Linked DNA regions of Ovis aries. The protein of the gene in region 1 binds, or shares a complex with, the protein of each later gene. Links are inferred from orthologs where the notes say so. Each region holds a gene or a part of one and is shown on either strand. Other genes may lie near its edges.

Region 1 (5,660 bases):
CCACAATCTGAACAAAATCTGTTAATTAAAAAAAAAAAAAAAAAAACCAACAGTCCAATTCTGTTTGCCCTCGCTGAATTCTGCTCCTATTCGTAATACATCGTCTTCAGTTCAAGCATTAATGTTGCATGCAGGAGATGGGGAGGGACTTGCCCTGGGATTGGCTATTTTCCATCTCCATCATGTTAGAACCATAGAGAGCAGCTCATTGGAGACTTGAGTCCTGGAATGATGAAGAATCTCTGAGTGGTCAATTTTGAGCCCTCATATGGCTCCCTTCCTTCTCTTTTGCTCCTGGGATTTCATCAGTCTTGGTTTTCTGCCTTCTGAAGGCATTTGTCCAGATTCAGTCATATCTTTAGATTTGCCATGAGAATCAGTACTCATCAGAGTTGAACAAATCTCTTTAAAATCTTTCAGATCAAAAAAGCCCTCTGAGAGAACATTTCCATGTCTCCTATTTTGAAGGTAGAGAAGGTGAAGTCCAACAATAAAGGAAATAATTTTGGCTCATTCACTCATTCACTGATCTTACAGTCTAGTTGGAGAGGAAGTTAAGGAACCCACAAATATAGAATTATAAATTGTGATAAATGCAATGATGGGAAATTGCTAGGAATCATGAGCATCTACAGGGGAACCAGGCAGTTAGGGAATCAGGGAGAACTTCCCGGAGTAAGTGTGAATAAAGTATGACTTAAAGGATATGTGAGAGTTAGAAAGGCAAAAAGGATTGTGGTGGTGGGCAGTAGGGATGTTTCCGGCAAAAACAAACAAACAAACAAAAAAACAAAAAACAAAAAAAAAACAGCAAAAGGTGCAAAGGTCTTGAGATCAATGCCACAGATTAGGGTCTACTTTTGACTCCCAGTCTAGAAATCTTTAAATTCCTATAGAAGAGACATTCTAAGCATATAGTTCCTTTCCAGTGTCCTCTGGGTAACACCTCATCCTTCCTGAGAATAGGATGCTGTAAGTTGCACTGTATACACAAAGCAGACTGGGGTGGTTTCTCAGCTGTTATCTATCACATAGCTCCTGATAACCAGGGAGCAGTAGACTCATGACATCACAACAAAGCGACACTTCAAGTAATTGTTTGGAAAGGGAAACATGTGTTTCCTATTCAGAGTTAGATAGTTCCTCCAATTTAACCTGAGACAAGTGATGGTTCACTGTTAGTAGAGATTGTATTGGTACATTTGGGGTGGACATTTCTCATAGGGCTCATGGAATCATGCAGAAGTCCTTTCCCCACAGTGCGATGCACAGGGCTTGCTAAAGACATGGTGACTGTGAGCTAGTCTGGTTTGGCACATGTCTCTGGAATTACAGGGGCCAGTCCACCAGGAGGAGACTGGCAAAGTTCTCTGCCTGATTAGATTTACTCCTGTGTACTGAAAAATCTGTTCTTCCACCTTCGACTTTGCCATTCACTTTAGGCACAGTATTCATTCGAAAGGACCACCTGTGGGACACTCATTTTTGACATACAACTTTCTCAGAGATGCACTGAGATGGGAGTATATTAATTACCACATAATACATGGTACCAGAGCCATCTTACAACATAGGATGTGAATGTGATGCCTGTTTTGTTTTCCTTTCATTTGTAACTCACATTGCTCCCACTCAAAGATTTCCTTTTCCTTTTCTTAAGGAACCACAGACTGTTAGAGTGATCAGGAGTGCTAATACATAAGATCTGATGTAAACTTCTCATTTTATAAATACAAAATCTAATTCCAGGAGAGAATTGTGTGACATTACCTAAAGGCATCTTATATGTGAGCTTCATAACTCGGAGTCTAAATGGTCTCATGACTATTTCCTACATAACTACCTCCTTAAATGGGTATAAAACTGTCATGTTTAGTTTTCCTCTCTGTGATTTTTGATGCAGAATATACCAGGAAAGGAATCATACAGACTCACTTCTCCTTTCATTAAAAACAAGACAACAGTTTCAGATAATTTAGATCCAGAAAAAAAGAAAAAAAAAAAAGAAATAAGTTTATCATCATGAGCACATGAAGGTAAACCCTAATTATAAAATGTTGCAAACTAAGTAATAATATTCTATTAATTCCAGCTATATCTTATTCACACTGTCTTCTAATCTATTTTAGGCACTCTGTTTACCTCTTTGTCCTTCAAACTCCACTTGTCCAGTTGATTTCACTCAGGCCATATTTTTGCATTTTAATCTGATATTTCTACGAAAGGATCAAAGCAACCACCACAAGGAAGTATCTGACTTTAAAACTGTATATCTGTCTTGGAGTATAAACTACACTGCTGCTGCTAAGTCACTTCAGTCATGTCCGACTCTGTGCGACCCCATAGACAGCAGCCCACCAGGCTCCCCCTGTCCCTGGGATTCTCCAGGCAAGAACACTGGAGTGGGCTGCCATTTCCTTCTCCAATGCATGGAAGTGAAAAGTGAAAGCGAAGTCGCTCAGTCAGGCTCCTGTGTCCATAGGATTTTCCAGGCAAGAGTACTGGAGTGGGGTGCCATTGCCTTCTCCGATAAACTACACAGGGATAGTTTATTTTATATTCAGACCAAGTAGGTGCAGAGGAAAATTTCAGTGCAGGCAAAGCAGGTGAGGGCAGGAAAGAGACCACAGGGTATGAAACAGTCTCTCCAGGGGTGGCTGCCTTGTGCTATTTAAAATGAAGCTCTATCCCAGACCTACTAAATCAGACTTCTCTGTAGGAAGGGACCCACACATCAGTTCCCATAGTAAAGTTTCAAGGTGGTTTGTAGGAATACCTAGGTTTGAGAACCACAGTTACAGAGGGAAGAATGATGAAAAGTGAGTTAAGGAAAATGATTTATAGCTGTGGTTACTGTCTGTCCAACTGAAAGCCAGTCTGTTAGCTTCTGAATTTCCCCTCTGAGTTCACCCTGTTTTTCTCTAAGGTTCCTTCCAGTTCTGAATTTCTCCAGTTCTAAGTGTTTCTCTGAACTTTGAGTCAGAGAAAACAGAAGGAACGCCACCTTAAGGACTGCAGCCAGTCTGGATACTCACCTTGAGCCCCATGAGGTAGTAGAGGACACTGATGACCGTCATGGGGAGGATGTAGAAGAGGAAGGAGGTGACCTGGATAATGAAATTATAGATCCACATGGGCTTGATGACTGTACAGGTGGCAGAGCCTGGGATGAAGGACCCGTTGGGGAAGTAGTGGAGCTTGATGCCGTGGATGCTGGTGTTGGGCACAGAAAAGAGAACAGAGAGGCCCCAGACGATGCCGAGGATGCGGAGGGCCCTGCGCCGGGTGCTCTTCAGTTTGGCCCGGAACGGGTGGAGGACGGCCACGTAGCGCTCCACGCTGACCGTGGTGACGCTGAGGATGGAGGCGAAGCACACGGTCTCGAAGAGGGCCGTCTTGAAGTAGCAGCCCACCGGCCCAAACAGGAAGGGGTAGTTGCGCCACATCTCATAGACCTCCAGGGGCATCCCGAGAAGCAGGACTAGGAGGTCGGAGACAGCCAAGCTGAAGAGGTAGTAATTGGTGGGGGTCTTCATCGTCTGGTGTCGAAGAATCACCAGGCACACCAGGAGATTGCCAACGACCCCCACCACAAAAATCAGAGCATACACCGCAGTCACCGGGAGGAAGAGGTGGCTGCGACGAGGCCCGCAGAGCAAAGCTAGGTAGTCGTCTGTGTTGTTCAGGTATTCCTTGAAGGGATCTTCCAGTTCCTGTTGGTAGATCCAGGAAACATTCTCATGTTTTTCCATAACTGCTATTAAAATGCAAGACCTGAGCCTCCTCGGGAATAAGCCTCTTTCCCAAGCTGAGCCAGAAAAGAAAAAGAAAGCAGGCAGGAAAGCACAGGCTTGGGGAAGGAGGCCCGGAGAGGGCTAGTGCTTCAGAAACTGCTCAGACCTCGGATCCCTTTTGAAGAGCCCCCGAGACAGAAGCCCCGCCCCTTCGCGGGCTGTGGGCCAATGCACTTGTCAGACGTTCAGTGAGAGGGCAGCTGGGTGGGGCGCGCTGGTTTCCTGAGCAGGGAGCCGGAGAGGAGGGGAGACGTTTCTCTGAATTGGAAGGAGCTGGGAACGCAGAACTGTCATAAACGGTGGCACTAGATTAGGTAAGGTGTGGGCACTCAGAGCAGTGCATTCTGCAAAGTTGTGGGAATCTGGGTGGAAATACAAATTGAGGTTGCAACGTTGTGCGTAGAAAAGTACAAATCCTCGTCACCTGTACAGCATAACAAAAATGGGAGATCAATAGATTTTTCAAGTATCTTGTTCCATTGAAAATTCAGGGCTCCTGGGGCAAAGTGTGATCAGTATGCCTTTTTGGCTTTGATTGCCTCCATGATAGAATCCAACACCTGCTCATCACCTAGCCCTGCCTGCTTTCTGACACTTCATTTTTGACAGTACCTTGCTGAAGCAAAAGGATTTAGAATCAGGCACACCTGTAAGAAATTCTGTAAACCTTTGGGAAAGTAACTCAAACTCTCAGATCTACATTTTCTTATCTGTTAACTGAAGAGTTGTGTTATTGTATTCAATACATACTTCTTGAGGATTTATTGTGTACCAAGGAGTGTTCAAGGCTTTGAAGCAACATCAGTGAACAAACAAGATGAAGTCTCTGCCCATGTGAACGTTTCTTCTGGTAGAGATTTCTGAAAATGCCCAAGCAAACTAATAAGTGAATTAATAGAGTTGCACGTCATAATCCGTGCTGTGAAGAAAAGGGGCCATACAAACATAAGGCTACAGCTGTTCTTTCTTTTAATCAAGATGTCATTTGGGCTGAGTTCTGACTGATGAAAGATCAATCATGTAAGAGCTAAGGGAAGTGTATTCCCAGAACAAGTAATAGCAAGTACAGAGGTCTTGAGGCAGTAATGAGCTTGATGTGTTTCAAAAACATCAAGAAGGCCACTGCAGCTGGAACTTAATGAGTGGACAGGAGAATATGAGAGTTGAGATCGAAAAGACTGGAAGGGACCATATTATATACATTTTTCTAGGATCTGATAATAAGTTTGGATCTTATTTAAACTGCAGGGACTTTGGATCTGGTTCAAGCCGCAGAGAATCTATGGACAGTTTTGAGCAGGAGGATTGCTCCTGGGGGCAATAATTCCCTTATGTCTCTGGACTGTTCTTGCCCATGGATTGAACAGGCTTCCATATTATGGGTAAGAAAATAGACGTGCAGAATGAATTCACTGTGTAACTCTATCAACAGAGGTAAATCTGAACAAGCACAGGGCTACTCTCTGTAGCTGTGGGCCAAAATAAAATACATGCCGTTTGTCTAAGGGTGATAGTGGGCAGTGACGAAGATGCTATTAGAGGCTGGAAGGATCCATGGTGGTGGTGGTGGGGGACTGATAATTTGTTCTTTAGTTTACAGGTATCTGGAACAGGAGAAGACACATGCAGATCTGATGGATAGAAAACCACGACCCACTCAGAGTTCCTAGACTTTTACAGTTGTGTCTGAATAGGAGTAGAAATCAGGGGGGCAGGGGGATGTGATGTGGGGGTACAAGTGGCAACTATGTAAAGCTTTCAAAAAATTACAATAGCTCATATTTATTGAGCACTTATTCTTCCTAGGCACTATTGTGAACAATATGTACACACATGGTTTGCCCTCCGTCAGATCTGTATGTGGCT
Region 2 (5,721 bases), on another chromosome or scaffold:
TCACCTATTGTTACTAAGCGTACGCAACTTTGAAAAATAGGAAGGTGAAAGAAAGGGTGATAAAGGGAGAGAGCAGTATTTGATTGAAAAGAACCAGAGTCAAGTATGATGCAAGGAAATACACAAGGAATTTCACTTGTTGGATGCAGTCTTCACCTGCCTGTACTTTTGATTTCTCCACTCATCACACCAGGGTTAATCTCTGTTTGACAGGGCATTTCTGTTTAGAGAACACATTTTCATATTCTTTCTTTGCTTGACTATCCTCCACCCTCCAGTAAAAGTGGAAGCACCCCCTACCTACAGCCTTACCAAGATCTTTGAGACTTTGTCTCCTTCCATGTCCCCAAGCTGGCCCGGGCCACACCAAAACTGCCACTGTCTAACTTAGTCCCAAGTATTTCTATAATAAAAAAGGGATACTTTGTGGCTCTTACACAAAACACATAAGCACAGTCTCAGGGTAGAAAGGTTAGAGAAACCAGAATTTTTAAATGTTTACCTATAATTTGTAGAAAAGCATTAATATCCTATGGCTGAATCCAAACATAAGAGGAAAAAATGTGCCTTTTGTCTATTTGTTAACTAAAGTTGATGCCCTTCTCCTCTCAACATACCCAGGATGCGGGCTTTACATTATCAAATAGTAGTGCTAGACACTTTCCCAAATACTGTCAGGACAGTGCCACTCTCTTCTATATCCTGAAAACAGCATTGGATTTTTTTGTTGTTGTTTTTGCTTTTAATTTTTATTAAAAGTAGGACTTTTATTAACAGTAGAGCTTCCCAGGTGGCACAGTGGTAAAGAATCTGCCTGCCAATGTTGGGTTTGATCCCTGGGTCCAAAAGATCCCCTGGAGTAGGAAATGGCAACCCACACCGGTTTTATTGGCTGGAAAATTCCATAGACAGGAGCCTGGTGGGCTACGATCCATGGGGTCACCAAGAGTTGGACACAACTAAGTGCTCACACACAGTTGACTTACAATGTTGTATTAACAACTGCACTATTTTTGATCAATTTCAAGACACTTATATTTAACACTATCTCATAACGGGAAATCTTTCGTTTTATACTGAACAATATAACTAATGCAAATAATATGGATCAACAGCTTGGGCATCTGTAAATATACCATGTGTAAGAGAAAGAAAAGCAGATCCTGCTATTCTAAAAGTAGTGTCCATTATCTTTTCTCATTGCTAGTACTTAGCCAGTGTAGGATTTGGAAATCAGAAATCATTACTGCTGACTGAATTTCAAGAACTATTTCATGAGTAGGAAAAGACACTTCTTAATTTAGTCTTGAGCACTTCATCACTTCTTGTCAGAGGCCGTGTCAAGAGATAGTTTGTTGCAGATATCCAAAGGTACCTCTCTTTTAGGAAATTTCTGTCTTCATTTTAATGTTCTTTGAATGGTAAACTGTTTCCAGCCACCAATTCTGTGGCTGGCCCTTTACCTTTTTATTGCCATTGCAGCTCTGCTAACACATTTTTGCTGAGGATGCTACACTTATTGACACAATTCCGGCCCCCCCCCGACCCCGCCCACCCCGACCCGGCTTTGTGGCATTTGCTTTGTTTTTTTGATACATCCACTTGCACCTTGCATAATGATTAACCTTGGTGGATTGTCTCCCGGCTTCGCTTCTGTATGTCAAGCTTCCCCTCCAGTGCTAATTGTCAGGGCTCAGGAATATAGCAGATCACCAGGGCAGATCAGATGAGAGTAAATGCACCCTCTTCCCTTCTCATCACATTTTTAGAGAGATAAAATTAATTTTTTAGTATTAACAGCAGGTCTGAAGGGGAAAGAAGACACAAAAGGGTAGTCTAGGGGGATTTCTGTGTAGGGAAAGAGGTATCTCATCCCTTAACTTGAGAAACAGTGGGGATATTTAAGAGATGATTGGTCAACCAGTAGATACCCTCTTTTGGAAACAACACCCAAAACTTGCTGTTTTTAGAAAATGGCTGCTGCTTCCTGTAGTTTCTGCCCAATCACCAGTAGCCTGAAAATTCCCCTGTATCTCCCTGCTAAAAGTTCTCTCTCACTGATGCAAAATTCACTGCAAGCATATAGTACTTAACATCATGGAAAGTATATTTGCTTCGCAGAGAAAAAATTAAACTGTGACCATCTGCTTTCTGAATAAGGTAGATAAAAGCGACCATCTTAATTTTACCAATAACAAATTTAAAACGGAAAAAGATGAACGTGACTTTGCAAAAGGCATGCTGTATCGCTGCTGAATATGCAATGGAGAAGGTTTAGGTCTCCTAGCTTCTACTGCTTACATTTCACAACCAAATTACCCTGCTTTTCAAGCCGAGGAGTCCCCACCTCTCTGAATCTCAAATGCCCCAAGGAAAGGGGGAAAACAATGAAAGGACAGCAATAAAAATAGCTCTATTAGGAAAAGAATGATGTGTCAGTTCCCCCACCTCTAAAAGGGGGCTGGGCTACAGGTTAGGGAAGGTTCCCACACTAATCGCTTCAAGTCCTAACATTACGGACAATGATGAAACGGCCCTCCCTTACAGGACTGAGAGGAGAGCAGAGGGAAACTAAGGGGACCCGTTGCGGATCTAGAAAATTCAAGATCTTAGTAGGGCTACCGCTGGCCCAGGAGGGCCCTAGCTCAAAGCTGGGAGATGAGGGATGGTCCCCTCAGGCTACTTGGAAAGGTAACCTTAAGGGAGCAGGGAAGTGATCTTTTCCACTGGAACAGGTTATATCTACCCTACCCCAAGTCCCAAGATTCGGACACCCCTTCCAGACCTTGCTTTTGCTTTCCCCCCATCTTCCCTCTAGGCCACGGCTTCACTGGTGGTTCAGATGGTAAAGAATTCTGCCTGCCAATGCAGGAGACCCAGGTTCAATCCCTGGGTCGGGAAGATACCCCGGAGGAGGAAACGGCAACCCACTCCAGTATTCTTGCCTGGAGAATCCCAAGGACAGAGGAGCCTGGCGGGCTACTCTCCGTGGGGTCTCAAAGAGTCGGACACGACCGAGCAACTAACACTTTCACTTCCTCTAAGTGAGGCACAGAAGTCCTTGTTACTATCGAAGCACAGAGCCCACGCTCTCCCTTTCCATTCTGCTAGAAAGGGGCTTGTTACTGCTCAGGCTTGCCTGAACAGTCCTGGAGCTCACTCACCAAGAAAGGTGAGCACTTTCCAAGTTGACCTCGCATCACACCCACTCTAGTTTTGCTTCACTGTCAATCCCTCCAGTAATTGCAATCAAAGGAAGAGCATTTTAATTTTCACTGTTTTAACTCCCGTTACCCATAAATCAAGCGGGCTGGACATCCCGAGTCTGAGGGGGCTGCCCGGCTTGCGAGATTCCCCCAGGCCCAGGTCCAGGCTCGAGCCGGGCCACAGACACGTGCGCCCTGGCTACCCTGAGGTGGCGACCCGTGCGCCGCGGCACGAAGGTGTGGCAAATCCCACCAGCCAAGAGTAAAGACGAGAAAAGGAGATAAGAGATCGAGGAACGGAGCGGGGAGAGGAGGCACTGGACTGGACGCGGCGCGGGTGTCCCAGGGGGCGCGGGGTCCTCTTACCTCCGCAGTCGTCCGCGCAACAAGACAGCAGTAGCAGCAGCAGGAGCGGGGACCCGGCGGCCACATGCCCCGCCGGCGGCTCGGGGCGACGGCTCGCGGCTCGCAGCATCCCGGGACCCTGCGCTGCACCTGCCGCGCGCTCCGAGCAGTGCTCCGGTTGAGCTTCCGCGTCCCCGGCGCGCTGTTCTCCCGGCTCCGCGTCCAGACAGACCGCCCCACGCGCTGCCAACTTTTAAATCTCGCGGACACGTGAGCTGAGGCGGCTAGGTCCCCGCGCGCGCGTCACCTCCCGCCCCCGGCCTTCCTCGCGTCACTCGCAACCCGCCCCACCCCGCACCCCATGCACGAGTTTCTGACTCAGGGTACCATGCATCTTTCACCCTCCTCGCCCTAGGGTCTCTGGAATGGAGGGTCATAGAATTAAAATGAAGCATGTCTATTCCCTTCTTTGGAAGCACTGAAGGGGAGCCGGAGGGGAATGCAAACCAGGCGGCCAGCAGAGGCTGGTATCCCGGCTTTTACACTTGGTGGTGGCGATGCTCTGCCAGAGACGACCCGTCTGCACCCTCCCCGGAAAGCCTTCTCTGCCCCACCCGACTGTGCGGCACCTCTTGTCCAGAGCTCCAGGAGCCACCTCGGTGCAAGCACTTCTGTTCTGTTGCCCTGTTCATCCCCAGCTCTTGGTACACGCCCAGGGAATCTTAGAGCAGTACTGGCTCATGGTGGATAGTTAGTGTTAGTCGCTCAGTCATGTCCGATCTTTGCGACCTCATGGACTGCAGCCCACCTGTCTCCTCTGTCCATGGAATTTTCCAGACAAGAATACCAGAGTGGGTTGCCATTTCCTTCTCCAGGGGATCTTCCCAACTCAGGGATCGAAACTGGGCCTCCTGCACTGCAGGCAGATTGTTTACCGACTGAGCCACCAGGGAAGGTGGTGCTGTGCTTAGTCGTTCAATCGCGACTCTTTACGACCCCATGGACTGTAGCTCGGCAGGCTCCTCTGCCCATGGGGATTCTCTAGGCAAGAATACTGGAGTGGGTTGCCATGCCCTCCTCCAAGGGATCTTGCCAACCCAAGGATAGAACCCAGGTCTCCCACATTGCCGGCAGATTCTTTACCCTCTAAGGCACCAGGGATGGTGTTCCCCAAATTCCTATCAGGTCTGAGATCTTTTAGGGGAAAGCAGTTGTCTGTTAAAGACAGTTAAAAAAAAAAAAAAAAAAAGGACTGCTGAGGCTTGACCACATAGACCTTTCTAAGTTCTGGAAGGTCTTGACTCTCCTGCGGAATTGCAAGCCTCAAGGTAACACCTTCCTTTCTGTGCATTTCTCCTGCTGTCACTTCCTAGCAGTTGCATTCTGATTTCCAGAGTGACCTGACTTCTATTATCCCTCTCTGCAGTTTCCTTCCTAGGGGGAAATATCCATGAAACAGACTTCTCCAGCGCACTAGCTGATGTGGCCTTAATTTCCTCTTCCAGAAACAAGGAAGAGGGATCTTATTTGACCTCCTTTTGAAAGGAACGCTGAGGGAAGGGTAGAAAAGGAAATACACTAACATTTCTTAAGGGACATCTTTATGTCAGGCACCTTCCCATGCTATGCATTTAATATTCATGGCATCTCGGGGATGTGAAAGTACTTTATTATGATTCTCACTTGATGAGCTTGGAGATATTAAACAATCCACCCAAGGATATCAGGCTTCCCTTGTGGCTCAACTGGTAAAGAATCTGCCTGCAATGTGGGAGAACTGGGTTTGATCCCTGGGTTGGGAAAATCCCCTGGAGAGGGGAAAGGTTACCCACTCCAGTATTCTGGCCTGGAGAATTCCATAGACTGTATAGTCCATGGGGTCACAAAGAGTTGGATACGACTGAGTGACTTTATATACATATATATAGAGAGAGATACCAGCATGTGAGGGAGCCACTGGTCATTCTACTCTGTAAAGATGCTTCTCCTCTAAATCAGGGATTTTAATGTATCAGACATGCACTGTACAGTCCACTACAGGCAAGGCATGTCCTTAAGGATACATTTACTAGTCTTCCTAAAGGATATTACAGTTTGATAAAGGACCCCAAATCTATACTCAAATAGCTGTATTACAAGGCCAATGGGATAATGCTCTGTCATAAATACA

The links.
Region 2: the proteins of NMUR2 (region 1) and NMU are in contact, whole or in part, in a cryo-EM structure (PDB 7XK8), measured with the Homo sapiens proteins. The link is inferred for Ovis aries from reciprocal best matches to the Homo sapiens genes NMUR2 and NMU. Residues at the interface, in NP_064552.3 of Homo sapiens: Ser42, His43, Gly98, Glu102, Glu105, Met106, Trp107, Arg108, Asn109, Tyr110, Pro111, Thr123, Phe126, Glu127, Asn181, His185, Pro199, Ser201, Thr203, Cys204, Val206, Tyr213, Phe284, Arg288, Phe291, Glu295, Trp297, Ser298, Glu299, Ala302; in NP_006672.1 of Homo sapiens: Glu146, Phe152, Ala153, Ser154, Gln155, Gly158, Tyr159, Phe160, Leu161, Phe162, Arg163, Pro164, Arg165, Asn166.

The regions. Positions count from the first base shown.
Region 1 is NC_056058.1:61,405,773-61,411,432, forward strand, and holds the start of NMUR2 (neuromedin-U receptor 2), read right to left. Parts: upstream 3,915-5,660; 5' UTR 3,753-3,914; coding exon 3,036-3,752; intron 1-3,035. UniProt on the Homo sapiens protein: Receptor for the neuromedin-U and neuromedin-S neuropeptides.
Region 2 is NC_056059.1:71,781,446-71,787,166, forward strand, and holds the start of NMU (neuromedin-U), read right to left. Parts: upstream 3,780-5,721; 5' UTR 3,682-3,779; coding exon 3,573-3,681; intron 1-3,572.